Linked DNA regions of Arabidopsis thaliana. The protein of the gene in region 1 purifies or fractionates together with the protein of each later gene. This does not show direct contact. Each region holds a gene or a part of one and is shown on either strand. Other genes may lie near its edges.

Region 1 (8,542 bases):
GATAGACCAGAGAAAACAAAGATTGGTGGTTAAAGAATCGAGAAGGTCACAAACCCAGAGGGACCCCGGTCTTCTTCTGAATCTATCATCATGAGCCTTTCAAGCTGTTCACTGAAAATGAGATAACAAATCAATCAAAACATAACCAGAAAAGCAAAGATCAATTCTAAAAGATTGGTTCTAAAGAATACAATAAAATTCACTAACGCATAGGAAGAAGGTTCTGAAGAATCCGTAGCCGCTGGAGAAGAAGGAAGGTCTCTGAAAAAAAGAGAAAGAAATTGACATTATTAGTTGAAGCAGAGCTTTAAGCATCGATCGATCTCTCTCATTTCCACAAAATTGGCTTTGGGAAATACAAAAGTTCACGAACCCATAAGTAACGTTGTTCGCATCCGATTTTGTATCTCCAGAAACCATGGCCACTGAAGAAGGATCGTCGCTGAACAAAAAGAAAGAAACTGACACGTTAGAGATCAAGCAATTGAAGCATCGATCTTTTTGATATCTTCAAAATTGCCTTCGATTGAATAAAACTACGCCATTTTCGTCTTGAAATCGCATGATATGAGACGTATTTGGATCATTCGTGTAAATCTCAAATCGGTTTCCATGGAATAAAATAAAGATCTTACTCGATAAAGCTTGAATTGAATGGGATCTTCTTGAAGAGTATCAATGGTGATCTATCACTTATATACCTGCGCTTCAGAGAAATCCAATCGCAGTCGTCTTGTCTCGCCGGAGAAGACGATGTAACTAACTCTCTTTCCCGCCTTTCTATTTTTTTTTTTTGGTTTTAATATTTCCAACTGCACAATCGTGAATATATAGCAATCTAATTGGGCCGTTACAAGTTCTTAGAGGGCCTAAACCAGGTCTAGAGTTAAAGTCAACTTTAATTTCCCCCGTATTCAGAAAACCACATTATAAGCATATAATGGGCTAACAATAAGGCCCACTAATTACAAAAGTAAAATTGAAATTGTAGTCAACTCTCCTAAATTGATCACTGATCTCAGGACTAAAAACTAATCTCGATCGTTAAATATAATTCGTTTAGAAAGAGTCTCACACTGCTTTTTTTTTAATGTATTAGAAAAATAGATTAAATTCTACAAAAAAATTATCTGCAAATGCAATGCACAAACTTTTTATCAACAAAAAGAAAAAGATTACATTGTTGCCTTTACAATCAAAATCGTTTAACCTCTAATCTACACAGAAGTGACAAAATCGATCAGTTACAAATGAAATTTAAACACTTTTTTTTTTAAAACTCAAAAGCCAAAAAAGCTATGAAAGAACCGGTAATCGAATACATCCACATTGAACCGGACCAGAAGATCAACGCTTTTACCGCAGGAAAATCTTTTGACCATTAGCACCTGCAAGGAACAAAGCAAAAAGGCAGTGATGATGATGATGGTTTTGAATTATGATGATGATGTGGTTAAGAGGTGGACATTACGTACATCGGTTAAAGATTTCTACGGCTAACTGCAAGATTATCTCGCTTTCTAATTCTAGCAACTGGGCGTGTTTATCTGCAAGTTCTTGTGCCTCTTTTGCTTGGAACTCCAAGTGTTCTGCCTCGGCGATTAATTTTGCTACTGCGTCCATCTGAGGATTTTCTTCTGGTGCTCTTGGTACGAGAGAAGTACAGAGGAAAATCATTTGACCATTAGCACCTGCAAGGAACAAAGCAAAAGGCCAGTGATGATGATGATGATGGTTATGATGATGATGATGATGATGTGGATAAGAGTTGGACATTACATCGGTTAAGGATTTCTACGGCTAACTCCAAGATTATGCATTCGGAATTTAGCATCAAACTGTATCTATCTGCAAGTTCTTGAGCCTCTTTTGCTTGGAACTCTAAGTGTTCTGTCTCTGCGACTAGTTTTGCTACTGCTTCTGCCTGAGGATCACGTTGTGGCGTTGTGGAATCTTCTCTAGTAGCAGGAACACGTTGGGGCATCATCATCATGTAGCGGTTTCCTACCTGCATTTGCAAGTTTTTTTTTACTGAGCTGACCAAACAAAATTCTATAACGCTATCTCGCAACTTGCATTTGGTATTAGGCAATGTATGGAGTTACCTTCTCTATTTTTCTTTCAGCAACTAGTTTTTCAACCTCGCCTCTCAATCGCTCCCTAGAATTATCCGGTATCACGTACCGGTCCTGAAATTTATATTAACCACAAGAACAACTTTCAAACTAGTATCCAAACAAGCTATACATGTCATCATCATCATCATCATCATCTAAGATCAAACCTGAAAACGGATACTTATAGGTAGAGGGAAAGAGATTCTACTAACATTGTTAAATTTGAAAATCCCATCGACATCACGACCAGTTCCATCATGTTCATCATCTATTGTTGATAAAGCTTCAAAAACCATATCATCTAAACTTAACGTGTACCTGAAGAAACAAAAGTATCAAAACAAACCAGAAAGCAAAGATCAATTTCAAAACATTTCTGTTCAAGAATCCAAAAAGGTCACAAACTCAAAGGTAACGTTCGCATCTGCAGAATCCATGGCCGCTGAAGAAGAAGGCTCTTCGCTGCAAAATAGAAAGAAAGTGGCAAATTAGGGGTTAAAAGATCAAGAAATTGATCGCATATCGTTGTGATCGAGCTCTTTGATTTCCCAAAACTTGGCGTCGATTTTAATCAGAAATTATGCCATTTTGGATTTGAGATTAAAGAACCCAAGATTTCACGAACCCAGAGGAATCGTTCGCAGCTGATGAACTATCTTCAGAATCCTTGGCCACTTAAGAAGGCTCGTCTCTGAAAAAACAAAAGAAGAAATAAAGATTTTGATCATTCGCGTAAATGTCATTCGGTTTCCATGGAAGAAGATAAATATTAAATCTATATACCTTTGAATTTGAGATCTTCAAAAAAACTCAATCGCAGTCGTCTCGTCGGAGAAGAAGACGTAACTAATTCTCTGTTTCCCGCTTTTCTACTTCTTTTAATTTCCCAACTGCAAAATCATAAATATAGCAATACGATTGGGCCATTATAAGTCCTTAATGGGCCTGTCCTCAGGCCTATAATTAAAGTCAGCTTTAATCTCGACCGTACAATTATGCTCCGATGATAAAGTCCTTAACAATTTTGCTGTCTCTTGGTAAATCAGAAAGCTGAGAGCAACAAAAAAACAATTTCTAGTAATAAAGAGAAAAAAAAAACTAAACAGTCCAAACCAAAAAGTTTTCTTCTTCCATAGTTACTAGTTAGAGCTGCGAAACGAAAATCGTAACGATAGTGCATCAATGGCTTATGCGTCACGCATCATTAATCATTCCAAGAAGGTAACTGTTTCTCGATTACATTTTTCCTCCGTTCATTTTGTTATCTTTTTATCTTCTTCAGCGATCGAGTATTGATATTACGAAATTGGGTTATGACGAATTCTTTCTGCTTTTAGAAATTCAGTTGAATTGTAATAATCTAGAATTGTTTTTACTTACGAGCAATGTGCTAAAATTAGCTAGATTTAGAGCTCTATGATCATTTGTGATTTATGTGTCAGCTTGCTTCTTAGAGATGATTGAGATCTGTAACGCCACTTGTTTTAATTTTTTTTGTAATTGACAGTTGAAGGATGTTTCCACTTTACTACGCCGTGAGAATGCTGCAACGATCCGCTACTACTCGAATACTAATCGAGCTCCTCTGAACAGAGAAGGTAATATTATCCTTTTGAGGTAGAAATTTTCCATTTGTACTTTTGTATGGTTTTATGGTTAGTATCTGTGAGACTCTCTGCTTGTTGCTTCAGCTTTTTTTTTTGTTATGGTCTTCAGATACTTTCAATTCCCGTCTTGGTTATCCCCCACTGGAGAGGATTTCCATATGTAGCACCAGCACTGTAAGTTCCTTACTGTTCTCTGTAGCTGTGTAGCTGAGTCTCTTCTCGTTGAATCATGTTGACTAGTTAGCAGAAACCTTAAGAGTTTTACATGGTCTTGATGTAGTTACCGGTGTCCATTATTTTTTCAACTACGAGATCAAATCTAAGCAGTGCAATGGGAAGGCCAATATTTGGAAAAGAATTTTCATGGTTCAGTCTCATTCTCTTACTCTATGTGGCGGATGTGCATTAGCCTTAGCTGCCTGCTTGTATAGATACTTTTTATTCCTAACTATAAACTTTTTTTTCTGCATACCAGTTTGATGCAATCAGCTAGAGGATTTTCATCGGGTTCAGGTAGTCAGCTTTTTCTCCCTGACCTTTAAATTTGTTTTATGAGCTTTTGTTCACTTTACTCTTGTAGTTTCCACCTTGATCTTACATACATATTCAGCGACTCCATTTTAGCTAAGGATAATCTGTTTCACATTGCCATTCATCTGGTTTTACTTGAGCAATATCATATTTAATGACTTTGCTAGAAAAAGGTCATTCCTTCCTTGGATACAGTATCTGGATGACGGCTTTACTGCAAGATCCTACTAAGACAATTGCATAGTGCTTAATCAATTGCGTAACTTAAGAATGCTAAATGGTATGAGCTTTACATTGGTTCATTTTACCTAGAATTTCTGAAAATGTGTTTCAGATCTGCCTCCTCATCAAGAGATCGGGATGCCTTCTCTCTCGCCAACAATGACTGAGGCATGGATCTTTATTTACCTCTTGATCAAAACTTATGTCCGTTTTATCTTTATGTTCTAATAAGCTTTTTCCAATTTTTAGGGTAACATCGCCAGGTGGCTGAAAAAAGAAGGTGATAAAGTTGCTCCTGGGGAAGTACTCTGTGAAGTTGAAACTGTAATGTCAATGTAGATTGAGTCTCATTTCCGTATTTTTATTTTCATGTTTTGGAAATAACTCTGACTAGGTTATGTTCAGTAGGACAAAGCAACTGTCGAAATGGAATGCATGGAAGAGGGCTATCTCGCCAAGATTGTAAAGGCGGAAGGTTCAAAAGAAATTCAAGTCGGCGAGGTATGAAAATTGTCTGCTTTCTGTAGAGTTATGTATTATCATGGTTTCTCATGGGGCTACGGGTATTGATATTAGGATCCACAGTCCATTTGTGGAAATGTTAATTGAAATTATTTGGATAATGTCATTTTTTTTTGCTTTCAAATAGGTAATTGCTATTACAGTTGAAGATGAAGAGGACATTGGAAAGTTCAAAGATTACACCCCATCATCTACTGCTGATGCCGCTCCTACAAAAGCAGAACCAACTCCTGCCCCACCAAAGGAAGAGAAGGTCAAACAGCCATCATCGCCTCCTGAACCGAAGGCCTCCAAGCCTAGCACACCTCCCACAGGAGATCGTGTTTTTGCTAGTCCTCTTGCAAGAAAGTTGGCTGAAGATAATAACGTTAGTTTCACAGTGTTCTAAATATTCTGTTTTTTCTTATTATTCCTGCTTAATTTTTCTTCTTGTTTACTTTATTTAAAAAAACATCAGGTGCCTCTCTCAGACATCGAAGGCACAGGTCCTGAAGGACGGATAGTGAAGGCAGATATCGATGAGTATTTAGGTATAAGTAACTCCATGACTCGTCCTTTCCTTTCTTTTTCTTTCAGACCTTTCTTGCCTCTGTTTACAGTTATCACTCATCCTTGTGTCGTAATACATCTTCCAATGGTGCAGCTTCAAGTGGTAAAGGAGCTACTGCGAAGCCATCTAAGTCAACTGATTCTAAGGCCCCAGCTTTGGACTATGTTGACATCCCTCATTCTCAGATACGAAAGGTAAAACCTATATTACTCTCGCAGCCTTTAAGCCAGTTTCAATAGGTTCAACGATTCTGAAATCTCGTTCGTTAACTTTATAATTTTGACAGGTCACAGCCTCACGTTTGGCATTCTCAAAGCAAACTATCCCTCACTATTACTTAACCGTCGATACATGTGTTGACAAACTTATGGCGTAAGTATAAAGGTTTGGATGATGTATTTTGAGTCGCTGTCAATGGGTAAGCTAAACTAAGCGAATTTGTAAATGCAGTCTGAGGAGTCAGCTTAATTCATTCAAAGAGGCTTCTGGTGGGAAACGGATATCTGTCAATGATCTTGTTGTTAAGGTACATCTTTCTTGTGTATACTTTACATGCAAGCCAACAGATCTTCTAAAATATCCTACTGATATCATGCGTTTTTAGGCTGCTGCATTAGCTCTCAGAAAAGTTCCTCAGTGCAATAGTTCATGGACTGACGATTACATCCGCCAGTAAGTACATTGACAAACTTTTGAATATGATTGTGGTAGCAAACATTGTAACCTTTCTCTATAGGTTTAAAAATGTGAACATCAACGTCGCGGTGCAGACAGAAAACGGGCTGTATGTCCCTGTTGTGAAGGTGTGTTCAAAATAGTGTTTAACCCTTGGCTGTAGCACAAACTTCAGATTGCTGAATTATATAAATTTCTTGATTCCAGGACGCAGACAGGAAGGGTCTGTCCACAATTGGAGAAGAAGTTCGGTTATTAGCTCAAAAAGCAAAAGAGAACAGCTTAAAGCCAGAAGATTATGAGGTGAGAGAATTCATTATCTTACTCACTAATCATATCTTTCAGTAAACATGCTAATAATCTCGTTTTCTCAGGGAGGAACATTTACTGTCTCTAACTTGGGAGGACCTTTTGGCATCAAGCAATTCTGTGCAGTCGTTAATCCACCTCAAGCCGCCATTCTAGCAGTTGGATCCGGTATGCTCTCTCTCAATGCAGAAGAGAGTTTTTTTACTACTTTACCAAAGATCCAATAACCGATTCGTGTTGTGTCTGATTCTTAAAAAAAAAAAAAACAGCTGAAAAGAGAGTTGTCCCTGGTAACGGTCCAGATCAATTCAACTTTGCTTCTTACATGCCTGTTACACTGAGCTGTGACCATCGCGTAGTAGACGGTAATCCAGTTCATTCATCATCATTGATTCATTCATTCATCATCATTGTAGAAATCTAATATTCTTCTTCTTACTGCAGGTGCCATTGGAGCTGAATGGTTGAAAGCATTTAAGGGATACATCGAGAACCCTAAATCTATGTTACTCTAAAAGAGAACCAACCACGCAATGGAAAAAAACACATCAAAAGCTGTCGTAAGAGTCTCTGTACCAATTAGATTTTCTTTGTTTTCCTCTGTTTCTTTCGGGTTTTTCTAAAAAAGACTTTTGTTGTTTTCTGAATAAATATGGTGTGAGGGATTCAGCATTTCCACTGTAAACTGGATTTTAGGATATTCTTTGCTGGTTCTGGTTGTTCAATGTTCATTGAGGAGGGCTGTGAAATAAAACTCCCATTATTTTGTCATGTGAAGTACTACCCTATATGGGATGGGTTTTGTAACCATGCTTGATAGTTGATACAAGTGGATGGATTTGAGTGAGTGAGTGAGCTTTCGTAATCTCTATTTAAAATAATAAAAAAATCAAAACAACATTTTTACACTATATTCAACATTTGAATGGCAAAAGAGTCCATACCAATCCATTATAGTCTTGTTTATTGTTGTAAAAAAAAACTGCTTGTATTCAATCAAAGTCACTCTATTTATTATCCATTGGGGTTTTTTTCCATGTGGTAGCAGAAAGCCAGAAACAAATTAATGTTGTGATTTTGATTTGTCTCAATAACGGGAAACGGAAAGAAATTACGTTTCGATTGTTCCGATACATTCTGAATGTCACTTGATCCTAAATGCAAAACAAAATCCTAAGTTTTTTCCTAAATACTCAATCTCATATTTATTTATGGGTTTAATGATTTTTTCTGATTTATTTTATCAATAATGTTTCATACATAGTTATCTGATTAATTTATTCAGTTATTCACAGTTTTATGTTACACAGTTTTAAGTCTAAATCCATTAAAAATATCTTTTCAGCCATTATTATATCCCAAAAAAATCAATAAAAATCTTCAGCTAACTTCGTCGGAAACGAAATAAACAAATAATAAATAAAATAAAATTGAGAGGAACCAAAAAGAAAAAGAAAAAAACGTTAGACAACGAAAGCAAGAATCTCTCTTCCCGTCGGTCACGGTCGCGAATCTCTCAGGCAATCTTTCTCTCTTTCTCTTTCTCATTTTGTCTCTCTTTCTCTATCTCAGAGGCAAGTTTCTTTGAACAACTTTTCTGGTGATTTTTTTGTCCCTTTCTCGTTTGATTTTACTCTGAAAAATTCGTCCTTTTTCTCTCAGGATCAATAGTTTTTTCTTCTTAATCGCTTTCTTTTCCAGAACCCTCTCATCGTCTTAGGGTTTATATTAAGTTCGTTTTTTTTCATCTTCTGTATTGGATCATCATAATAATTTTTGGATATCGGAAAATGTAGCTTTTCTGAGATTTCTCCTGATTCTTATTAGCTGACATTTGAGAAAAAAAACTCAGCTTTGTCTTTTTTACATTTAATCATTTTTGTCTGAGACAATTTTCTGATTGAATGATGTTCAGGTTACTTGGTGAGAGGAAGTTTAATCGGCGCTACAAAATTGCACTTCTTTCGCCATGAATTCGAGTATGTTCACAAATTGTCCATTTCTCTTGT
Region 2 (8,298 bases), on another chromosome or scaffold:
TTCTCTCTGCTGGGGCAAGACCGAACCTGGTGACAGACTCGACGAAGGATAATCTTGGTGGATGCATGGCAGCTGATTTGGCACAGCAAAACGGATATGACGGTTTAGCTGCTTATCTTGCTGAGAAATGTTTGGTTGCTCAGTTTAGAGACATGAAAATTGCTGGAAACATCACTGGCGATCTGGAGGCTTGCAAGGCAGAGATGTTGAACCAAGGCACTCTACCGGAAGATGAGCAGAGTCTCAAGGATGCTCTTGCAGCATACAGAACAGCTGCAGAAGCAGCGGCTCGGATTCAAGGTGCGTTTAGGGAAAAAGCGCTAAAGGCAGCACGGTCAAGCGTGATTCAGTTTGCTAACAAAGAAGAAGAGGCCAAGAGCATAATCGCGGCGATGAAGATTCAGAATGCGTTCCGGAAATATGATACACGTAGGAAGATAGAAGCCGCTTACCGGATTCAATGCAGGTTCCAAACTTGGAAAATACGAAGAGAGTATCTGAACATGCGGCGCCAAGCAATTAGGATCCAGGTATGAAGTGAACCACACAAGATTCAGCAGCCAAGATTATAAGTTTGCTCTGAACTTGGCTATTCATAATCATCACTTTTGTCTAAATTCCACAAACTATAGGAGACTGAAAGTTCACACCTTTATCATATCGTCTGTCTGAATTTTGCAACACATGAGTGTATTTCCTCCTATTTTGCAGGCTGCTTTCAGGGGATTACAAGCAAGGAGGCAGTACAAGAAGATATTGTGGTCGGTAGGAGTATTGGAGAAGGCAGTTTTGAGGTGGAGACAAAAGAGAAAAGGGTTTAGAGGACTCCAGGTTGCAGCAGAGGAGGATTCTCCTGGTGAGGCACAGGAAGATTTCTACAAGACAAGCCAGAGACAAGCAGAGGAGAGGCTCGAGAGATCTGTAGTGCGAGTACAAGCCATGTTCAGGTCTAAGAAGGCTCAACAGGATTACAGAAGGATGAAACTCACTCATGAAGAAGCTCAGGTGAATCATCTGACATTTTTGAATCTCAGTTTTGGAAAAAAAAACTCTAACCGGAGATAAGTTCATACTTGAATTAACGAGTCTTGTTATGGTGTGACACAGTTGGAGTACGGTTGCCTGGAAGATATTTGATACATCAAAATGGCTATGGAGAGGTGAGTCAAAGAGAGTTTGGTGTTGATTGTTAAACATGGATGGTAATTGATCTGTAAATTATGTGAATGGGAAAGGCTACTCTCGATCTTTCTGCAACTGGTTTAGAATAAAGTATACATAACGAGACCTAATCTCTGTTGTATGAAAAAGAGAGACAGAATTAACAAATAGGTATTGTAGTTATTTGTCTATTTCTGTAACTGGGTTCCTATGTGACTTTGGTGTAATCTAGACTTGTATATTTGTAGAATAAAATTGCAAGTAACCAGAGAAATATCTTATGAACATTTGTACATTAAACTAGGTTCATCTTGTTTGTTTGTTTGACAAAAAAAAAAACTAGGTTCATCTGTCACTTCACGTCTGAATCTGATTGATAATAATGGACAGACAAGTGATTTTACTAGTAAAAAGAGAAGAATCATCCAAAATCGTTCACATCAAACAAACATACAATAACCAAAACCACAATCTCCACTAATTGAAACCATGGAACAATTAAACAAATATAAGTGAAAGCAGAGACAAGACTCCAACAGAAATATTCTCAAAGAAAGAAGAAGGCCTTGTAGATATATCTTTCAAGTCTTTACTTACGGAAGGTTGTTTCTCATCATCTCCTCCTCTTCTTCTTCCTTTTCGATCTTCCTGGTTCGTGTTTAGCTTTATCTTTGCATCTCCCTAAAGTACAATCACAAATTTTCTTTCTTCAAGATGTTTCTCCCCACCCCAATAAGTTTTTGGTTTCTTATTATACAACCACTTTTTCACTTACTGTCCTTGTCGTAGCATGACTTTCAACCTGAAAAATTGAACTTATAGTGTAAGATTCTTTTGCTTTTTAGTAGAGGACTTAAATCTATTGATTGCAGTTAAGAATAAAGGGGCTCTCTGATCAATGGCATGAGGAGACTGTTTTGCTTTACCTTGGCTGCTTTGAACAGTTCGTCGAGGACCTCAGAGAGTGTTGGATGTGCATGAACTGCCAATTTTATGTCCTGCAGAGATACCATTAAAACATGCAGGGGATCAAGAAACAGATACAAATAATGCGTTTAGTAGTTTCAGCAGGAACTATGTATATGACTTGATTTCGCTGTAGGATATTATCAATATCAAAGGCTACGAGCTAGATTCAATAGTAATCACTAATCAATGAAATCCTACCTGAATACGCGTTCCTAGAGCAATCGCATTAGAAGCTTCATGGATAAGGTCAGCTGCATGCAGTCCAAATATATGAACTCCTAAGATTTCACCATTGTCAGGTCGGTATATCATCTGCATAATGAAAAGCAATGAGATCTCTATGTTCTTTCATGAGACATAAATAAATCAACAACTTTTGCTTCTCCCACCTTAGCTATTCCTTCTCCTTCATTTTCAGCTAGGGCCTTTGTGTTAGCCTTGAAACTTGTCTTGACAACACTAACTTTAAATCCTTCCTTCTCGCCTTTTTCTTTTGCTTGAGGCTAGCAATAATGTCAAAACATAAGGAGTTACAGTAAGCATATTTTGCTCATAGCATTCTTCTTTTTGACCCTCTTCTGTACACAAGTACTAGGATATAAAACTACCTCTGTTAATCCCACCATGCTGATTTCAGGATGAGTAAAGCAAGCAGCTGGGATGCTAAGATGATTAAGCACATGATCTCTGCCGCTGACTTGCTCGACCACTAGCCACAGAGTAAGAGCTCAGAGTTTAATACAAGGCTCAAGAAGAAAAAAGGGAAAATATTATTGCATTGTTAGTAGCCTCCTACTGATAAGCCATTTACCAGAAATTCCTTGGGCACTGGCTGCATGTGCAAGCATCAATTTACCATTGGCATCACCAATGCAGTACAAGTTCGGAACCTATCACAAGTAGAAATGAATTTAGCATATAGAAAGAATTGCTGACAAGGAAAAGGTATGTATATGCAAATAAAACCGACCAGAGTCCCCTTTCCATCGATCACACGCATTCGCTCATCAACTGGTATGAAACCTCTCTGCGTCACAACATTGACCTGCATTGAGATGACAGCTTCAAGGTTAATTTTCTGACAACTAAACATTCTCTGGTAACCAAAATGACAATACTAAAAGGTGGGATTTAGTGTCATTTCATACATTTTCCAAGCCAAGTCCATTGGTGAATGGAGCTCTCCCAGTAGCAATAAGAGCAGCATCTACCTGGAGAAGGAAAACAAAATTACACTTTCAGCGCAGAAAATCACATGGTACAATGAAAAGAAACCAAAAGACATGACTATTTATATTCTATCTTGAGACGAAAGGCCACAATAAATTCAGAAAATGAGAAGCTTTACTAATCCACCTATGCATAATGTGTATACTTACATTTCTGTGGGAAGAGTAACAATGTGGTTAATACTGCAGCGAAAAGCAAAAAAGTGAAAAACAAGACTTCTAAGGACCCACTACCAACGGCACAAATCTTCCCAATTCAGGCATGAGACATCAGATCATGTTAAGGACCCAGTAACTGTTAAATATTCTCTTTGTGAGACATCAGATCATGTTATCTTTTAAATTCCATTTGGTTACCTCCAAAGTATCCTTAGGTTCCTTGGTTTTGGCATCAATAAGCTCAATCAGAACTGGTTTCCCATCCCTTGCCGGAGTAATCTGAATAAGAATAGATTTAAGTTTAACAGATGAATACATGGACACACTGTATAGAGAAAGAGAAGCAGTATTTGCAATGCATGATATAACAGGCTCACTTTGCTTGCAAAGACTCCAGTATGATAGTCAATCTTTCTTGGATTTATCAAAACCCTCTGAGCTAGCTTACTGATCTCAGGATCAAATCCAGGCATTAGCTGATCCAGTGCTTCTATAAAAGTTACCTGCACAAAAGGTTTCCGTTTTCGATCAGTAACTACAATTTAAATCGAAAAACCAACAGATTGGTACCTTAAAATCTTATTTTCTACTATTTACACAAAAACAAGCTCAATACAGGAAGAGACCAAACAAAGAACTAGAAAATTGGAGAACATTGCTAATTGCAGTTATTACAATCTCAAGTACAAGGACACAACATCACAAAGTCGTACTAAAGTAATATCATTAGTACAGAAACATCATGTTACCTCACTTCCAAGAGCTGTGTAAACATCACTGAACTCAAGACCAATATAACCACTTCCTACAATTGCAATCCACTCAGGGACAGACTCTAATTTCAAAGCATGGTCACTGGTGATCACAGTCTTTCCTGCAGCGCCAAAATGTAAACATTCAAGGAATAATCAAGTCTGCATGCTCCCTTAACAACTCTACGTCCAAAACAAGAAACGTACCATCAACTTCAATTCCTTTAGGGACAAACGGCACAGATCCAGTGGCAATGATTATATCTTTTGCAGTAATAATATTGTCCTTCCCATATTTAACCTTTTGTGGACCCTGCAGAAATACAAAATATTGATATGAGTTAGGATCATCGTTTAAGAAAAGTTTGTATCATGTTCCTGTCTACAGTTAGTAAACGTGAAAGAATAGAACGTACTACTGAGTACTGACCAGAACACTGCCAAATCCAGTCAATATGTCAACACCAATTGCCTTCATTGAATTGGTCAGATTGTTTCGTATTTTGGTAGCCAGATTATTAGCATGATCTGCCACACCCTGACGATCATATCCAGCAGCTGAAACCTGTTTCCCAAAGGAAAACCAAAAACCATAAGATAGTGAAAGGTAATGAGTAATTCCTGAACTAGCTCGATCTTCTACAACCATTTCACACCAAAGACAAAGCTTGCAACTTTAAACAGAGAACATGAGTTGATATTTACCTGGAGACCAAAGGACTTCATGTGATGTTCGTTCTGAAGTTCCCGCATTCGACCACTAACAGCAAGAAGAGCTTTAGAAGGCACACATCCTCTGTTAACACAAGTCCCTCCAACAACATCTCCTTCAATAATGGCTGTTTTAAGTCCCTAACACAAACAAAATCACCAATGTTTCCATAATAAGCAGAGCAAATCTTTTACTTTCATCAAATCAGGTTATATAAGAAACTTCAAACCTTTTCAACGGCGTGCAAAGCAGCTCCGTGGCCACCAACTCCAGCTCCGATGATGATCAAATCGTAATCGAAAGATTTCGGTGGAGCGCCATTACCATTACTTGAAGCAGAAGCGGAGACTTGGAATGACTTCCTACTTAGAAATTGGATTCGGTTACTGCGAATAGCCAACTGATTCGACGTTGAGAAACCAAACGCTTCCCGCCGGAGTCCGCAGAACCGGAGACTTCTGGGCGTAGAGAAAACAGAACCAGATGATCCGAGCACGTGGTTTGGTCTTGTAAACGACGTCTGGGAGAACGAAAGCGCCATAGCTGATTGCATTCTAAGAGACACAGACAGAGAGAGAGAAAACGAGGAAGACGCAGCTGACAAATCTACCGGCGGAGACAGAGTGAGTGTAAATAGCCAACAAACGGAGGCGGAGTTTTCAAAGCCCGCTTTGTTTGTTTGTTTTGTTTTGTTTAACCACTTTTTTTTGTACACGAGGCATTTACGACTTTTCTTTCATTTTTTCTAACCTGGTTTAAGTCTTAAAAAGCCCATTGGGTCAATAGACCTCGTAGCCCATTTTTGGCTGTGAATATATATTTAAATTAATTTTTGGATTTTGTAACAAACTTAAAAACAAATCGCTTAAAAAACTAGTTTCTCTAGATTTTAGGAACTTTTTGGATAGTGAAGTTGATTTTCAAAATTAAAATGCTTTATGAAATACCTCGTAGCCACTTCACGCTCATAAGATCGTGTAATTTGTTTCATTAGGGTTATGTTATTACTTGCTCGACAGTTCTAGTAGTGAATTAAAAGTAGCCAGCAAGATGTTGATTTCGATGAAGAATGTGGAACTCGCATGGGAACTCATTAACCACTACTGCCAAGAAGGCTCGCTGCAGCGTCGTCCAATCAACGAATTCTTTGACTTTACAAAATATAGCCGTGGTAATTTATATAATCCATCACCTGAAAAACAAGCAAGGTAATTAATTATATCTATGCATAAATATTCATGAAACAAATTGCTTGCTTTTTTCCTTAATGGTTTTTAATTTTATTTTTCATGTTGTCCTGGTGCAGCCGTGGGCCGAGGTTGACGCATATTGGAAATTACCTTCTTTAGTTAAGGACATGTATGTATGATAAGGAAGGGACAATCTTACATGGACTTTTCCCTGAGATTTGACGTGCATGGTTGTTACACGATCGTTCTATGCTTCTATGGCGTTTTGAAGAAAGGTAAATTATATAAAACAGTTCACAACTTCAAGTACGTTTTCGTAATTTTTTGCTTTGTATTCACCAACCAGTAATGGACGAATTCTGGAGCACAAAAGCGAGGACGACCACCCTATTTTAGTTGTTGGTCTAGTGAAACGTAGATCAGATTTTGTTGAAGCCAGCGCCGCGCAATATCTTTTGGTGCTAGCAACTCATCTTGAGACTTGAGTTACTTTTTTTTGGAGTGTATTTCTGCTCTAAAAATGGTGTAGATCCTCTTGCTCAAGTAGCCAAAGAAGCATGATAAAGTCATTTGGTAAATGGTAACATGTTTATGATCATTATGCTTAAATTCTCTGTGTTTCAAGAAAATGCAATTGTGTTAACTTGATTTTTTCTATATTAACTTCGGTATATACCGAATAAAAGGCTCCAAAAAATCGATTTTAAAGATCAAATGTTTTATTTTATTTTATTAATTTATTTGTTAGATAAATAAAGGTAGCTACACAGAGCAGTAATGTTAAAAAAAATTCAAATATTTTGAGAATCCCAAGGAGGACAAAGATCAAACATTCCAGTCTTTTTGTTCAGTTTGCAAGGTCCTTCTTCACGTATCTTCCATTCGCATCTTTTGCATCCAAACATTGCAGATTCTTGGTCTCTTTCTTGTATGTATATACGGAAATAACGAAACACTAGTCTCCAAGCAAAAGTGCAAATGAATTTAGTATCTCCAGAAACACTGGGTGTAAATTCAAATGATCACGATCCACCAGCTAGCATACGTCGGAGTCCAAAATCAACGTCTTTTGATGCACAATGGTATGCCATTGGCCAATAACCTGAAAGAGCGTTATGTATCACCACTGTTGTATTTGGGTTCTCAACACTTGGTGGTGAAGCCATGGGGTTTTGAGCGAGGGACATTGTTACACTTGCACACATAACGATAATGAGAGCTACAAGTTCTGCTAGAGCACCCATGTTGTTTTTGTTTTTTGTTTTCCTTGCAATATGAAAGTATATTGAATATGGACTCTTTCCACTTAGTACTTTATTGTATTTATAATACCAAACTTTATTGATTATGTTTCCCTAACAAGCTTCTTTGTTTTGTTGACTCAGTTACATAGGTTATATGTTTTGAATAATATGAGTCAAAGTAAAACTTAATTAGGTATAAAAGGAAATCTCATCTTGGTAAAAAGACAGCTATATCTTATTATATAAAGTATGGATTTCAAAGTTGCTAACTCATATAATTGTTACACATGTCAAGTCAAACGATCAGATGTTTACATGTGTCATTCAAAATTTAACTTTTTTATTCTCTAAAAAAAATTGAAAATTTTAAAAAGTAAACAAATTTACATATACTAATTTATACGTCTATATATTTATAAACAATTAACATTTATTCAACAAAAGGAAAATTAACAAATTTGTCTTTAACTCATCTAATCATAAGTGAAAAATATAACATTTTGAGAAAAATAGCTTAGCTTATAGGATTTAACTTTTCAATTATTTTCATTTATTAATTTTAACTCATTTAATATTAATTTGCATGATGTAAAATTAACTTACGAGATTACGGCATATACAAAAAATATATTTTCAACAATGTTTGGTTTCTAAATATTTTTGTGGATTGTTTTTTTTAATTAATTATTAGCCCTATGCGTTTGGGTATTCGGGTCGGGTATTTCGGGTTCGGGTTTTCGGGTTTAGAAGTTTAGGACCCGTTCGGGTAATTTAAGATTTTGGGTCGGGTTCGGTTTGGGTTCGGGTTTGGGTTCGAGTTTATTTATATATTGAAATATGAAATTTTGTGTGCAAATTTATTAAATTACTTGAAAATTTCAA
Region 3 (7,284 bases), on another chromosome or scaffold:
ATAGTACAAAACAGAAACTTACATAAACATGACTTCTTGTTTGATTGTTATGAAAGCAAAAATATTTTTGTGTCCTTGTTTAAAATACTATGCCTATAACAATAATATACTCCAAAATTGAGTGATACTATTTGGGAGTAGATATCATTTACACATCATACAAACATTACACTAATTTCTATTTGTATGTTTAAGAGAAATATAATCTATAAAGTAAAAGCAACAAAAACTGTAAGATAATGTTCGCTAAAGTGAGGTTGAATAGATAAAATATTTACAAAAAAAGGGTTACAAAATGATATAAAATGGAAATGAATCTTAAAAAATGGAAACAACTATTTGAGTTATTGGGATATGAGCAAGAAACAGGAGTAAAAGGAAATAATACCGCACGGGGTAGTCAGAGATTGAGCTGGTCAGGGAGAGACAATAAGAGCTGACACAAAGAAAAGAGAGAAGATTCACGCGGTGGTACCGAACTGTGGTGAGGTTTGGTCCTACACGTGACCTGGCACGTGAAGCATAGCCCATGGCCACATGGGCCCCTAGCACGTGCGGCCTCCCACACGCGTACGGCATTCCTTCTTTCGCAGAGTCCCTGTGACGAGCATGGACCACTCTACGTCTTTCTTTACCCTATAGGCTTGGTCCACGTGTCTTCTCCAAAGACGAAACCACTACACACTGTGGTGAATCTTGTAAGGCTTCTGCTGTTGTAACTGCATTTTGTCGTCCGGTCATTTATCATTCAACAATAACCACGGATCTTCAAATCATGTTGAGGCCGCTGACAAAAGTTTATATGTTATTTCATTTTCAAATCTTTTATATCCCACTTGTGCTTGTGGATGAACCTATCTGCATACTCTATATACTCTTTTCTTCTTCTCATCTAAAACAAATTACATTGCATATTACAAATCTTGATGTGTAGCAAAATATACCATGGCTATCTTTGACTTGACTTGAGTTATGTGATGAAACGTTTTGAGTAGGTGTGAACATTTGAAGAACCAGTTATAACAATTTTAGTTTAAGTAAGTACTCGATATTGAATATGATGGTTGTGGAATGAAGATATGAGTTGTTTTTTTCATAGACAATGACATTTACTGAGAAATTCACAAAAATAGTGTATATATTTTGATAAAAAAGTCAAATGCTATTCTGATTGCGAATCACAAGTCTACATTGTTATCAGAATGCATTGAAGTTTATAAACAACAAACACATGGCAAGTGGGTGGAGTTCACATTATCTAAGCAGAATTTACTTGCCTTTGTTCGATTTTAACTCAAAAGTTTGATTTTTATTCTTTTACATATCTCAGCAAAGTTGTGGAGAAATGACTGATCATGCATGAAGTTGTAAGTAACCAAATCGTGCTCAACTCGCAATATCTCTCAGATATACAGTTACTGCTGCGTTCATTTAGAGTCTAAGCGCTGTACGTCTACAAGCTGGTAAAGATCTCCCCGCCGCTGCCTATTCAATGGAAGGCTAGTCCTAAGATGGTAAAAAAAACGAGATTCAGTTAGCGGATCACGCTATCAAAAACCAAGAAAGTTCTGGTGTTTCCGTGATTACCTTCGTTGTTCAAGGATAGAGTAATCAATCTCTGCTATGATAATGGCCTCCTCATGCTCAGTCGTTGCTAGTACTTCTCCAAACTGTCAAATAATATATATGTTTCAAAGTTTAGTGATCAGCTAAAAGCTTCATTATCAATCAAGTAACACAGAAAAAGTTTAGTGCTTACAGGCCCAACGAGTGTTGAGTGCCCCCAAGCAGTGTAGCCAGCTCCTGAATCTCTGGCAGGTGAGCATGTCGCCACATATAACTGGAGAAAGTAGCATACATAGTTCTATTAACCGGTCCATGACTTTGATAACAGTCAATTAAGTAAAACTAACCCCAAAGAGCAGAAGATAATACTTGTATTGATAACTCAAAGAAAAATGCAGGTTTGCTATGAATTCATTAAGAAATGTCAGAACTTGTATCTCTCTTTTGGCTATCAATACAAGTATTTAACTTGGTTCATGTACCTGATTATCCGTAGCCCTGAAATGGAACAAAACAGATCGATGAGCATTGTGATTTACCCATGATTAAATAAGCCAAGAAAGTCGTAATGTAGTAGACTGTGAATCATACCTGGCCCTTTGTAGTAATTCCCAATGCAATGGTCCAGTTGTCATGTTAAAGGCTCCCGGGTAGCACAGCAAATGAGCCCCTGATATGATTAAAGTAAACATGTGGGTGATGAGGTTCTTTAAAACGTAATGGACCCGAAAAAGAGAGGAAGCAGATAGTCCATTTGGATAAAGCATTATGATATGAAGACTCACCTCTTGCAGCATATATCATAGCTAACTCCTGGAACCTGATATCATAACAGATGCCTATTCCAATACGCCCTACATCTGCAACAACCAACAAAACTATCATTCTCAAGCGCTGCACCGCGTTAAAGATTTCTCATAAGTACTAGAAAGTGAGAGGTGATGTGAACGGTCCTACTATGACTTGATTGTTCAATAAAGACATTTCCCCAGTCAAAATAGTTGGCAAGATCTTAAAAACATTATTATTCATAAACACTAGGCCAGCATGAAAATGAATCATTTCACTGTTGAGCTAAGAAGATCCCAAATCTGACTGGAAATTTAAATCCTTAATCCTAAATTATTATTTTTAGATAGTACCACAATGAGTTTATGTAAGATACATGATTGTTTATGCATGACCTGGAATTATATTTGGCAAACCAAGATTATAACCTGTGTCAACGATTGTTGGTGTCTCTCCAGCAGTAAGAGTTTTGGATTCCATAAAAGTAATCTTCCCGGGAATGTCTATATCAAATAAATGTATCTGTATGCACACACAAGTACAAACACAAATAAGTGCAAGCAATCAAAAACAAGATGTTCTGAGAATTGATAATATAAGCATAAAACGGTCAAGGCCATCTCGCCTCATAATTTGTCCTTATGAATCATAGAGGAAGAACTCGAACCAGAACATAACTACCACATCATTCTAATTACTGATTCTAAGTCTATTAGATCCTAAAAACAGATGATAAAAGATGAACAACGATTTTAGAAGTAAGATTAGCATCTTTCATTCTATGGCCTAAAGCAGAGGAAAGTTCATTATTTCTTCTATGAAAGTTTAATCTCAAAAAATCTAACCTTCCGATGCTTAGCTTTTAGCTCTCCATCGGAACCAAAGACACAGCAAGTGTTATACAAACGATCTCCAACTCTTTCTGGTATAGATCCACCAATGATTGTAATCTTGAGACGTTTGGAAACTTCAGAAAGCATTGCCGTTGAAGGAGAAGCATCACCACCTGCATCAATCTCCTCCGCATAAACTGGAAAACTATCATTGGAATACGGACTGTTCCAAATTTCCTGAAACAAACCCATTGAATGGTTTTAAACCCCATAGAGACGATACCACTAGCTCATACTTTTTGTAAATTTTACACATTTGAGCAACAGAACATTAGAATTGAACTCACAAAGAGCTATGAGCTAAGATACAAAGAAGAAAAACTCACGGGTAAGAGAACAAGCTTAGCTCCTTTAGAAGCAGCTTCTTCAATGGCTTTTTTAGCATGAGAGATGTTTCTCTTTTTGTCAGATGTAACAGATAGCTGACACAATCCGATGTTGAACTACAAAATTACCCATGGAACGAAGAAATCAATCAAAAGCTGAAATGATTGAAAACCCAAAGGTAAATGAAAAGAAAGGAGCTAACTTTGGTCAACGGAGGAGCTGGGAGAGGAAGAGCAGAGGGAACTCTAGCTTGTTCAGGGTTGAAAGAAGAAGCCATGGAAGAGGAAATGGATCTTAAAGCTGAGGTTGACGAAGATGGGAGCTTCAAGGTGTGACTAGTGATCGATCTCGGAGATAATTTAGGGAGGAAGTTAGATTTGAGAGAAATGAAGCGAGAAAGAGGATTAGGGTTTAAAAGATTCTTCGAATTGAAGAAGAGTGACGATGAAATTGCTGACTTCATTTCACTTTAGTCCGATGATCATATAGGTAGGTAGATGATATTGATACTTCACCTCACAAAAGCCATGACTCATGAATCCTCTGCGTTTGCGTTTCAACCGTATTGACGCGGTTCAATCAATTTTATACACTAAATTCGAATGAAATCGTACCAAACCGGATAAATTTAACATCCTTACTAAATCCAAAACAGAATACATATGGGCCTGAAAACGAATTGGTCTTGGGCCTGACCGAATCAATCGCTTTTCTCTACATTCGTCTAGAAATATCCATCTACACTTCTCCAACGATCAAGACGTTTCTCGAACGTTAGAGAAGCGCTTTTAAGTTCTATAACACCGAAACAATCGCTCTCTCTACATTGCTCTAGAACTATCCAACTCAACTTCTATTTAATACTTTCTTACATCAAAATCAAAATCAATCAAACCAAAGAAAAAGCCAAGAAGCAAGAAAGTTAACACAACAGCTAAGAATGGATTTGGAGTTTGGAAGGTTTCCAATATTTTCAATCCTCGAAGACATGCTTGAAGCCCCTGAAGAACAAACCGAGAAGACTCGTAACAACCCTTCAAGAGCTTACATGCGAGACGCAAAGGCAATGGCTGCTACACCAGCTGACGTTATCGAGCACCCGGATGCGTACGTTTTCGCCGTGGACATGCCTGGAATCAAAGGAGATGAGATTCAGGTCCAGATAGAGAACGAGAACGTGCTTGTGGTGAGTGGCAAAAGACAGAGGGACAACAAGGAGAATGAAGGTGTGAAGTTTGTGAGGATGGAGAGGAGGATGGGGAAGTTTATGAGGAAGTTTCAGTTACCTGATAATGCAGATTTGGAGAAGATCTCTGCGGCTTGTAATGACGGTGTGTTGAAAGTGACTATTCCGAAACTTCCTCCTCCTGAGCCAAAGAAACCAAAGACTATACAAGTTCAAGTCGCTTGAGTTTGTTTGTGATCGTGTTTTTGTGTTTTAATGAATGTAATCGATAAGCAACTACCTCTTGGTGTTCGTTGTAAAATGAAATAAAAATAGTTTTCTCTGTTCATATTTGTCTTTGTGTTCAATCTTCAAATCAATGAAGTTTTTGCTCTCTTGAACCATCCATGCTTATGAGGCAAAAATAGGACCACAACAAAAAAGACACCGAATGGTCATTCCTCTGTTTTTGCAGAAATTATTACTGTTCATCCTTTCCTAATATCATTGGTGCTATTTAGCACATTGGCCATCAAATCCACATTTGCATTTCACCCTTATCTCTGCAGTCAGCAAAATATATTTTTGGAGTTATGTCCCTTGAAGTAATTTATGGGTATGAGATCAGTAACACAGTGTTATTATATCTGCAAAAACTCTTACATATTCAATTTTATCCTTTAAGTATTAGATGAAAGGAAACAATTTTGTTATTCTGATTTTAAAATCCAAACAACTCTTTGTACTTTTTTCATGTTGGATAACGTAACTGAATCTTCAGCTACTACATCTGTAGTATAATACGAAGTCTGATATCTCAATCTGCTACATTATTTTTTAAATGAAATTTGCATTTGCGAATGCAAATAACATCAACTGAGTTTTAAGACAAATCAAGTTTTGTGCAGATTTGTAACCGTCTTTAATAGCTTATATTAATGTCGTTATACACGATTTAGTGGTATTCAGTGAGTTAGTGCTACCACATATATAGTATTTTTCTTTGGTCACTAAAATAAATATGGTCTTTCATTAATTTTTCTGACCAGAAACCAGAGCATATACTAATTTAGTCTTGTTTCCATCATTAAGACTTTGAACTTCTGATCTTGAGGTGCATGTTGTACACTTGTAATCCAAGTCTTCAGCAATTGTATGTACTTTCCAGTTGAATGTATTCTTTAAAATGAGCAATATTGTTCGGATTCCTTAAATCACAAAATTTGTTCTTTAATTTGCTAAAACACTAATCTTATGAATCATGAACTATTTTCACATATGGAATGGGCCTTGATATATTCCTAATTTAAAAGCCCATATAGATATTAAAAATTCTGTAAAGTTATGGCTCATATTTTATCAAACCTGAGTTACAGAGTTCACAAAAACCAGAACGACCAAGACGTTTCTCGAACAATACGGAAGAACTTCTAAAGACCGCGACAATCGCTCTCTCGACAATCCTCTAGAAATATCCATCTCCACTCCTATTTAAGTCCCCACATTTCTCACATCAAACTCATCAAAGAAAACAAAAAGCCAAGAATCAAAGAATCAGGAAAGCAAACACAACACAACTAACAATGGATTTAGGAAGGTTTCCAATAATCTCAATCCTCGAAGACATGCTTGAAGTCCCCGAAGACCACAACAACGAGAAGACCCGCAACAACCCTTCACGAGTTTACATGCGAGACGCTAAGGCAATGGCTGCTACACCTGCTGACGTCATCGAGCACCCTAACGCATATGCATTCGTCGTGGACATGCCTGGAATCAAAGGAGATGAGATCAAGGTTCAGGTCGAGAACGACAATGTGCTTGTGGTGAGTGGAGAGAGGCAGAGAGAGAACAAAGAAAACGAAGGTGTGAAGTATGTGAGGATGGAGAGAAGAATGGGTAAGTTCATGAGGAAGTTTCAGTTGCCTGAAAATGCAGATTTGGACAAGATCTCTGCTGTTTGTCATGACGGTGTGTTGAAGGTTACTGTTCAGAAACTTCCTCCTCCGGAACCAAAGAAACCAAAGACAATTCAAGTTCAAGTTGCTTGAGTTTGTTTTGTGATTGTGTGTTGGATTTATCTATTTTGTTTTGATTTATGGATTTGATGAATGTAATCGGAATGCGTGAGGGATATGGTGTTTTGTTCTAAGATGAAATAAAAGTTTGTTCTGTTTCTTTCATTCTCCTTTGGGATATTCAAATTAATGAAGTTGTTATAAGAATCTTCCACATCAAAGTTCTGGAAACATCTATTGGCCCAGTGGAAATAAGAATGTTAATATACATCTCTAAATCGCTCACTTACATTATGTGAAACAGATAACTGCATGTGATACATACTTCACTTTATTTAATTTGACCAAGTGACAGACCAATTGGTCAGTCCTCTGTTTTGCATAACTTAAAATACTTGTTCTTTATTGTTCATCTTTTTTAAGCATATATCTTTGGTGATCATTTCTTCTACTAATTCCAACACATCTCTTTAGCCATCTAAGTCCAAATATGCTTACCATTACCTATACAGTCAACAAATATACG
Region 4 (7,728 bases), on another chromosome or scaffold:
ATACTATGGAAGGTAAACTAACTTGCATATTTCAAGTACTATGAGATTTGCTAATCTTGTATCCGTTTTATTTAATTTACTTTTTTACCAAGTTTTATTTTTTTTTAAAGGGAGAAAATGGTGGCTGCTCTTCTATCTGCGGGGCAAGGCCAAACCTGGTGACAGACCCTACTAAGGAATTCCTCGGCGGCTGCACGGCAGCTGATCTGGCACAACAGAAAGGTTATGACGGTTTAGCAGCTTTTCTTGCTGAGAAATGTCTTGTAGCACAGTTCAAGGACATGCAAACGGCTGGAAACATTAGTGGCAACCTTGAAACCATCAAGGCAGAGAAGTCGTCAAATCCAGGGAATGCAAATGAAGAGGAGCAAAGCCTGAAGGACACTCTAGCGGCATACAGAACTGCTGCAGAGGCAGCGGCGCGGATTCAGGGAGCGTTCAGGGAGCACGAGCTGAAAGTTAGGTCAAGCGCAGTTAGGTTTGCTAGCAAGGAAGAAGAAGCCAAAAACATAATAGCCGCGATGAAGATTCAGCACGCGTTTCGCAATTTCGAGGTTCGTAGGAAGATTGCAGCCGCTGCTCGGATTCAGTATAGGTTCCAAACATGGAAAATGAGGCGGGAATTTCTGAACATGCGAAAGAAGGCAATTAGGATCCAGGTACAAGCGAAAGCTAATCTTTCTACCGTCTTTAAGAAAAGAAACGAGAAACTATCTGCAACCGTATAAAACTGTTCTATGGTTTTGAATATGACAATGTTTTGCAGGCTGCGTTTAGAGGTTTCCAAGTAAGAAGACAGTACCAGAAAATAACATGGTCAGTGGGAGTTCTTGAGAAGGCAATTCTGAGATGGAGACTGAAGAGAAAAGGATTCAGAGGCCTTCAGGTAAGTCAACCTGACGAGAAGGAAGGGAGTGAGGCGGTGGAGGATTTCTACAAGACAAGCCAGAAACAAGCGGAGGAACGGCTTGAGAGGTCAGTGGTTAAAGTCCAGGCCATGTTCCGGTCCAAGAAGGCTCAGCAAGATTACAGAAGGATGAAACTGGCTCATGAAGAAGCTCAGGTAAAAATCTTTTGCTGCTTTCTGTTTTCTTTACTCATTTCAAGTATATTCGTAATAGATTAAACACAATTTCACTTGCAAAATTATGATAATTGGTTATGGTAAATTATAAAATGTAACACAGCTGGAGTATGATGGGATGCAAGAACTTGATCAAATGGCTACGGAGGAGAGCTGAATGGAATAATAGAGGAGGAGTGGGTGTGTTGTGTTGTGGAGGAACTGTAAATTTGTGCAAATGACGAGGGGCAATTTCGACCTTTTAAGAAGCGGTTTTCAGAAAAGTTTCAAAGGGTGTTGTGGTAAATTGATCCTGGAGCTGGGAAATTTCCATAGAGCGTCTTGTCGTTAGTTTTTCTTTTTGTTTGGTGGATAGTCTTGTATTGCGTTATGTGACTTGTGAGATTTGACGCTAAAAAGCTAAAACGTTTTTTAGTTTGTCTAAAAGTTCTCCTGCTTACTGTCTTTCTTCTGTTATATATTTTGGATTTCTGACTTATAATAAATATACTTTAATTTTGTGTCTGTCACAATCTGTTTTTTTTTTTAATCTAATAAAGATACAGTTTGTCAAAACCATGAAACAAATATACGTGATGAAACTAGAGACGCAATCTTCGTCCTTTGATGAATATTGGTGAAGTACAAATGTCTTTTCCACAAAACTTTTGTTACAGGCTGCTCTTAAATTCTTCATGTTTACACAGTAACTTTCACACTTTGTGCTGTTACTGAAGCTGGACTATCGACCTGAAATTGATATAGACAGGAGTTGCTTGCCTTTTAATCGAGATTCGATGTCTATTGATTAGAGAATGCAAATGTAGATTCTTGTATTTTACCTTGGCTGCTTTAAACAGTTCGTCTACAACTTCAGACAGTGTTGGATGTGCATGAACAGCAAGTTTTATGTCCTGCATTTATCATCACACAAAGACACACAAAAAAAGCTCACAATCTAAAGTCCTATGATCAATACCGGAGAGAGGTTAGTTTGCAGCCAGACCTGAATACGTGTTCCTAAAGCAATCGCGTTTGATGCTTCATGGATAAGATCAGCAGCATGCAATCCAAATATATGAACTCCAAGGATTTCACCATTGTCAGGTCTGTATATCATCTGTTCACATGAAGAGAGTGTTCAGATATCTTATCTTCGCAAGTCACTCCAGAACTATATACAACTATCTTTTTTTATTTCAATTTTTGGTTCTTCTCTTCACCTTAGCGAGTCCTTCTCCTTCATTTTCGGCTAGGGCCTTTGTGTTTGCCTTGAAACTTGTCTTGGCGATACTTACTTTGAATCCCTCTTTCTCAGCTTTCTCTCTCGCTTGAGGCTGGGAATTGCATTAAAGATTACCGAAATCATAAATTAGGATTGCAATTTTTTAAAAACCAATCCACTAAGAGTGTCTAGAGGTTACCTCTGTCAATCCCACCATACTTATTTCAGGATGAGTAAAACAAGCAGCTGGGATGCTAAGATGATTAAGCACATGATCTCTACCTGTGACTTGCTCCACCACTAGCCAACACAAGTAGATGCATAGAGTTTAATAAAGGTCAATCTAACGTATTCAGTGTAGAAAAGGAAAAACAAAAGAAAGATGCATTTGGAGTGAAATATTGATAAAACCATTTACCAGAAATTCCTTGAGCACTAGCTGCATGAGCAAGCATCAGTTTACCATTGGCATCACCGATGCAGTACAAGTGGGGAACCTATCAACCAAGAGTGACTCAGTAGCTTAAAAATATATAACTTTTGGTAAGAAATAAGCTATATGAAAGAAAACTCCACTAACCAGCTTTCCATTTCCATCAATAACACGCATTCGCTCATCAACTGGTATAAAACCTCTTTGTGTGGTAACATTGATCTGTGAGGAAATCACAGCTTTTATTATTTCTTTAGTAACCAAATAAGGTCCTCAGGGAACGAAAATGAAAACATATTCATAAGGAATGGGGTTTATTGTTAATTCATACATTTTCCAGGCCAAGACCATTGGTGAATGGAGCTCTTCCAGTAGCAATTAGAGCAGCGTCAACCTTGAACAAGGAACTTATGGTCAAACTTTCAGTGCAGGCAAAAAACACATGAAAGTCTCAAATGTGATTGTAACTCCAAGACATTCTATTATTATTATTATTATTTTAATTTTTAGGAAAAGATCTGATTTTATAATACGAAAAGCCCTGGCTAACCTACAAAAGTATGCATGTCATTGATTTATATACTTTGCATGTGAAAAGAACATGTGTGAGAGTAACTAGACAACTATTTTCTCTTGTAAATTTTCAGATATCTGCAGAACATTTTGTTACCTCCAAAGTATCCTTGGGTTCCTTGGTTTTGGCATCAATTAGTTCAATCAGCACTGGTTTCCCATCCTTTGCTGGAGTGATCTGTAAAGAAGCGTTAACAAAAAAAATTCGTAAACCCACTGTGTAAGGAAGATATCTAATTTAAAATGCATGAGACAAAAAGGCTTACTTTGCTTGCAAATACTCCAGTATGGTAGTCAATTTTTCTTGTATTTATTAGAACCCTTTGAGCCAGCTTACTGATCTCAGGATCAAATCCAGGCATTAGTTGATCCAGTGCCTCAATAAAAGTTACCTGTAAAAAAAAAAAAGAGTTCCCCTGAGCTTGGTCACTTCCTGGAGTTGCAGAGCATCACAAACCTTAAGCAAAATATAGCTATCGCCCATTTGCTCGATCAGGTTACCAATACAACAACATCCTAAGAGCCTTTTGTTACTATTGAGAGAAAACAGAAAACTAAAGAGAACGCAAAAAACAACACACTATCACACCAGTGCAAATCATTAGCACAAAATCAAAATGTTACCTCACTTCCAAGGGCCGTGTAAACATCACTGAACTCAAGACCGATATAACCACTTCCTACTATCGCAATCCAGTCAGGAACGGACTCCAATTTCAATGCATGATCACTTGTGATAACAGTCTTTCCTGCAGCACAAAATATGAGGAATATTAGGGTACTTGCTATACTAAAAGAAATGAGAAGCTTTGGTTTTTGAGGCAACTCCCCTTTCACATATCATTTATACAAAAACACATACCATCAACTTCAATTCCTTTCGGGACGAACGGTACAGATCCAGTTGCGATGATTATATCTTTTCCGGTGATAATATTGTCACCATATTTAACCTTTTGTGGGCCCTGCAAAGTGCACAAAAGACTAAAGAGTATTAGGATCACCACATAACAACGACCTATCATTTGGAGTTTATATAGTCAACCAAAGACAATAACATACTGACCAGAACAGCGCCAAACCCTGTCAATATGTCAACACCAAGTGCCTTCATAGAATTGGTGAGATTATTCCTAATTTTGGTAGCCAGGTTACTTGCGTGGTCAGCCACACCTTGGCGGTCATAACCAGCAGCTGAAACCTGTTTTCCAAGGGAGTCAATGGAAGGAAACAAGAGTCAAGGCCAGGAAGATGATACTTGCTTCACAATGATTTGAGATCAAAATTGAGCGTCTACAATTGCATTCTACAGGAATTTTTACTACCTGCAAACCAAAAGCCTTCATGTGATGTTCGTTCTGGAGTTCCCTCATCCTACCACTAACAGCAAGTAGAGCTTTGGAAGGCACACAGCCTCTGTTAACGCAAGTACCTCCAACAACATCTCCTTCAATGATAGCAGTTTTGAGTCCCTATACAACGTTATCAAAACAACAATCACTCGATGAGATCATGAATACCGTAAAGAAATACAGTAATAGCTAGTACGATTCCAAAATTGGCATATTGAAGAAGATGTTGCAAAGCATTCCTGAACCATCTCTATCAAACAAAGCATATGATTCCACTATCAATTTGATCCAGAGTATTGGCAAAGCATAGAATCATAATCGAACTTGAATTCTTCCTAATTAATAAGAGGAAGAAAGAGGACCTTCTCGACGGCGTGCAATGCAGCTCCATGGCCACCAACTCCAGCTCCGATAATGATCAAATCATAATCGAATGATTTCGATGGAGCTCCATTTCCAGCGGAAGAAGAAGCAGCGGCGGAGACTTCGATTCTCCTACTCTGAATATGGAAACGGCACGAGGTCAATTGCTTCGACGGAGAGAAGCAAAACGCTTCTCGCCGGAGTCCACAGAACCGGAGATTTCTCGGCGTAGAAGGAGCTGCGTTGGATGAACAAAGCGTACGATTCGCTAAAGGAAGCGATGCTTGTGAGAAGGAAAGAGAAAGAACCGATTGCATTGTGTACGAGAGAGTGAATGAGAGATCTGTGTAGAGAAAAAGGGAGTGACGGAGATGACAAGTCTGTACTAGTCTCACTCCGACGAGCGGAGGCGGAGATATCAAAGCGGAGATGACACGTGTCACGTTTCTCGTCTTTAAACCGGAGATTTCAAAATTCCCGGCTATAATATCCAACTCTGAGCCCATTGGGCCTTTTATTTCTCGGTCTGCCTGACGTTATCTTGTGAGAGCCACGTGGGGAAGGAGAACGGCGAACAGTTCAAACGGCAGACTCCGACACGTGTGGAAAAGCAGAACACGTGTCAAAAGAACGCTGTTCTGTTTCACAATCTTCTCCTTACTTGTTGTTGAAGAGAGAAGTATTAACAGAGAAAGAGAGAAGCAACAAGTGAAGAAAGAAAGAAAAAAATGGAGAAGAGTGGAGGAAGAATTGTAATGGATGAGATAAGAAGCTTTGAGAAGGCACACTTGTTCGATCTTGGTCATCCTCTTCTTAACCGTATCGCAGATTCCTTCGTTAAAGCCGCCGGAGTAAGTTTTCATCCATATCTCTTCGTTTCCCTGTCGTATATGCATGTAACATATATGTAGTAACATAGCTTAATATGGATTAACTATGAAGGTGGGAGCTTTACAAGCCGTGTCAAGGGAAGCTTACTTTACCGTGGTTGACGGTAAGAAACTCCGGCGGGTTTCTTCTTACTTATGATTTATATGTATAAGAAATGAGTATGTAATGTAAGAGTGAAAATGAATAAATAGAGAACGTACTTTAGTTTGATTATACATTTTAGGGGCAGGTTTTGACTCGAACAACGTGGGTCCACCGTCGGAGATTACAGGGAACAAGAAACATAGGTTCCCTAATCTCAGAGGTCCGTAACATAATTGTATCATATTTGGTTGATGATCTTATGTAATCAGCATTATGTTTATCTTAATGATGTTTTATCGTTGTTTTCTTAATCAGGGGAAAGCAGCAAATCTCTTGATGCATTGGTGAGTTTATTACAATCGCTAATTATTAGCCTTTTATTATTCGTCAAATATTCGTGTGCTAGTGTGCTAGTGTGTTCATATCTAAGTGTTGCAAAATAATACATAAAGAATGGTCGTAACTCATAAGGTTTCTTGTTAGTTAACTGAAAATGTTTAAATTTGTTGGCCTATAGGTGAAGAACACAGGAAAAGAATCTCTCCAATGGGGTGAGTTTATATATGAATTTGATTAAGTTAACGCTTCACGATTAACGTTGGAAAGAGATTTAATGATTTGGGAATGGTAGGGCTAGCGGCAGGGTTATACTCAGGTATCACTTACGGTATGACAGAGGTTCGTGGAGGAGCTCATGATTGGGTTAGTCTAATTAATTTGACTTGTGTCATTTTGTTTTCATCAACGAACAAATGATGAACATGATCTTTAATTAGTATGTAATTTGATATGTGTCACAGCGGAACAGCGCGGTAGCTGGAGCATTGACAGGAGCGGCAATGGCTATGACGACGTCTGAGAGGACAAGCCATGAGCAAGTGGTTCAGTCTGCTCTCACTGGAGCAGCTATTTCCACCGCTGCTAATCTCCTTTCTAGCGTTTTCTAGATGATTTGTATTAGAAGCTTTAATGCATAAGGGTTGTTTCATGTATCAGTTATGTTTCTTTTTGTGAAAACGAATTCGCTAAAGGTCTACTAAGATCTTTTCCTGAAACTCTCGAAGCTGGAGAGAGATCGTTTTGTTATCTGTTTGGAAAATATTTGCACTATATATATCTTGAGTAGTACCTATTACGTAACCTTATCTATTTGGATAAAAATGCGGGTCTTGTGGGCTCGCTGCACAGACAATAACCCGTGAGGCAGCGTAACAACAAAAACGACATTCGTGTTGGAAATCAAAATGGTGACGCTCATGTGAAGGTGAATAATATTTGTCATTGAATAGAGAAACGACTTTCAATGTACCAACAAAAAAGTTATAATGGTGAAATTGAAGTTTGTCACAGCTAAATTCAAATTTAGACTTTAACAAAAAAAGTACATTCAAAGTTGAGACTTTAACAACAAATAATGAGGAAATACGACTTACGAACCTGCAAACATATCCTTACAAGAGATAAATGGTACCAAAAACAATGAGATTTCTAGTTAAAAAACCATATGAATATTAAAATACTGCATGTCTTCTTACATGTGTTGTTCCACACATTTTTTGGTGGTTAGATCTTCTGAGAATTTGTTGTACGTAAGATCAGAAAAATCAAAAAAGTTTAAGAAACATGTTTATTTGGCAGATGTTTGGAACTCAAAGGAGGAAACTCACATTATATCTCTATCTTTCTCTTTTGACATCCAGCTTGGAATTGATCCGTTTAGCATATTTCCACTGAGATACCTGCA

Evidence for each region.
Region 2: the proteins of AT1G54220 (region 1) and LPD1 fractionate together in Arabidopsis thaliana (co-fractionation; one large-scale study listed by BioGRID). This does not show direct contact.
Region 3: the proteins of AT1G54220 (region 1) and AT5G12040 purify together in Arabidopsis thaliana (affinity purification with mass spectrometry, with the first as the bait; one large-scale study listed by BioGRID). This does not show direct contact.
Region 4: the proteins of AT1G54220 (region 1) and AT4G16155 fractionate together in Arabidopsis thaliana (co-fractionation; one large-scale study listed by BioGRID). This does not show direct contact.

The regions. Positions count from the first base shown.
Region 1 is NC_003070.9:20,244,966-20,253,507, reverse strand, and holds AT1G54220 (Dihydrolipoamide acetyltransferase, long form protein), read left to right. Parts: upstream 1-3,162; 5' UTR 3,163-3,299; coding exon 3,300-3,338; intron 3,339-3,624; coding exon 3,625-3,715; intron 3,716-3,833; coding exon 3,834-3,898; intron 3,899-4,004; coding exon 4,005-4,090; intron 4,091-4,199; coding exon 4,200-4,237; intron 4,238-4,589; coding exon 4,590-4,645; intron 4,646-4,726; coding exon 4,727-4,801; intron 4,802-4,885; coding exon 4,886-4,978; intron 4,979-5,126; coding exon 5,127-5,366; intron 5,367-5,456; coding exon 5,457-5,529; intron 5,530-5,642; coding exon 5,643-5,743; intron 5,744-5,835; coding exon 5,836-5,921; intron 5,922-5,999; coding exon 6,000-6,075; intron 6,076-6,153; coding exon 6,154-6,221; intron 6,222-6,285; coding exon 6,286-6,352; intron 6,353-6,431; coding exon 6,432-6,527; intron 6,528-6,598; coding exon 6,599-6,701; intron 6,702-6,802; coding exon 6,803-6,898; intron 6,899-6,977; coding exon 6,978-7,048; 3' UTR 7,049-7,482; and 1 more. Other genes in the region: AT1G54240 (winged-helix DNA-binding transcription factor family protein), read right to left, coding at 55-111, 208-261, 374-420; AT1G54230 (Winged helix-turn-helix transcription repressor DNA-binding protein), read right to left, coding at 1,357-1,388, 1,476-1,691, 1,780-2,008, 2,106-2,189, 2,330-2,435, 2,523-2,554; AT1G54217 (Ribosomal protein L18ae family), read left to right, coding at 8,503-8,512. UniProt on the Arabidopsis thaliana protein: The pyruvate dehydrogenase complex catalyzes the overall conversion of pyruvate to acetyl-CoA and CO(2).
Region 2 is NC_003074.8:5,784,849-5,793,146, forward strand, and holds LPD1 (lipoamide dehydrogenase 1), read right to left. Parts: upstream 5,678-8,298; 5' UTR 5,536-5,677; coding exon 5,212-5,535; intron 5,123-5,211; coding exon 4,976-5,122; intron 4,836-4,975; coding exon 4,701-4,835; intron 4,584-4,700; coding exon 4,478-4,583; intron 4,393-4,477; coding exon 4,268-4,392; intron 4,022-4,267; coding exon 3,896-4,021; intron 3,798-3,895; coding exon 3,717-3,797; intron 3,342-3,716; coding exon 3,279-3,341; intron 3,176-3,278; coding exon 3,101-3,175; intron 3,021-3,100; coding exon 2,942-3,020; intron 2,840-2,941; coding exon 2,739-2,839; intron 2,634-2,738; coding exon 2,520-2,633; intron 2,443-2,519; coding exon 2,329-2,442; intron 2,160-2,328; coding exon 2,088-2,159; intron 1,964-2,087; coding exon 1,937-1,963; coding exon of another isoform or gene 1,913-1,936; exon of another isoform or gene 1,843-1,912; coding exon 1,660-1,842; 3' UTR 1,537-1,659; downstream 1-1,536. Other genes in the region: AT3G16940 (calmodulin-binding transcription activator), read left to right, coding at 1-530, 712-1,005, 1,108-1,137; AT3G16960 (plant self-incompatibility protein S1 family protein), read right to left, coding at 6,964-7,097, 7,206-7,416.
Region 3 is NC_003076.8:3,881,916-3,889,199, reverse strand, and holds AT5G12040 (Nitrilase/cyanide hydratase and apolipoprotein N-acyltransferase family protein), read right to left. Parts: upstream 4,252-7,284; 5' UTR 4,039-4,251; coding exon 3,778-4,038; intron 3,692-3,777; coding exon 3,575-3,691; intron 3,426-3,574; coding exon 3,201-3,425; intron 2,878-3,200; coding exon 2,784-2,877; intron 2,427-2,783; coding exon 2,352-2,426; intron 2,237-2,351; coding exon 2,158-2,236; intron 2,065-2,157; coding exon 2,049-2,064; coding exon of another isoform or gene 2,031-2,048; exon of another isoform or gene 1,841-2,030; coding exon 1,760-1,840; intron 1,671-1,759; coding exon 1,588-1,670; intron 1,507-1,587; coding exon 1,428-1,506; 3' UTR 1,123-1,427; downstream 1-1,122. Other genes in the region: AT5G12043 (uncharacterized protein), read left to right, coding at 306-440; HSP17.6A (heat shock protein 17.6A), read left to right, coding at 4,516-4,986; HSP17.6II (17.6 kDa class II heat shock protein), read left to right, coding at 6,324-6,791. UniProt on the Arabidopsis thaliana protein: Omega-amidase involved in the metabolism of asparagine. Probably also closely coupled with glutamine transamination in the methionine salvage cycle.
Region 4 is NC_003075.7:9,151,808-9,159,535, forward strand, and holds AT4G16155 (dihydrolipoamide dehydrogenase), read right to left. Parts: upstream 5,327-7,728; coding exon 5,009-5,326; intron 4,767-5,008; coding exon 4,620-4,766; intron 4,496-4,619; coding exon 4,361-4,495; intron 4,260-4,360; coding exon 4,157-4,259; intron 4,044-4,156; coding exon 3,919-4,043; intron 3,687-3,918; coding exon 3,561-3,686; intron 3,473-3,560; coding exon 3,392-3,472; intron 3,116-3,391; coding exon 3,053-3,115; intron 2,944-3,052; coding exon 2,869-2,943; intron 2,786-2,868; coding exon 2,707-2,785; intron 2,589-2,706; coding exon 2,488-2,588; intron 2,401-2,487; coding exon 2,287-2,400; intron 2,184-2,286; coding exon 2,070-2,183; intron 1,978-2,069; coding exon 1,906-1,977; intron 1,814-1,905; coding exon 1,763-1,813; downstream 1-1,762. Other genes in the region: ATOEP16-2 (Mitochondrial import inner membrane translocase subunit Tim17/Tim22/Tim23 family protein), read left to right, coding at 5,738-5,860, 5,952-6,003, 6,124-6,204, 6,300-6,328, 6,502-6,535, 6,616-6,686, 6,785-6,931. UniProt on the Arabidopsis thaliana protein: Lipoamide dehydrogenase is a component of the plastidial pyruvate dehydrogenase complex (PDC).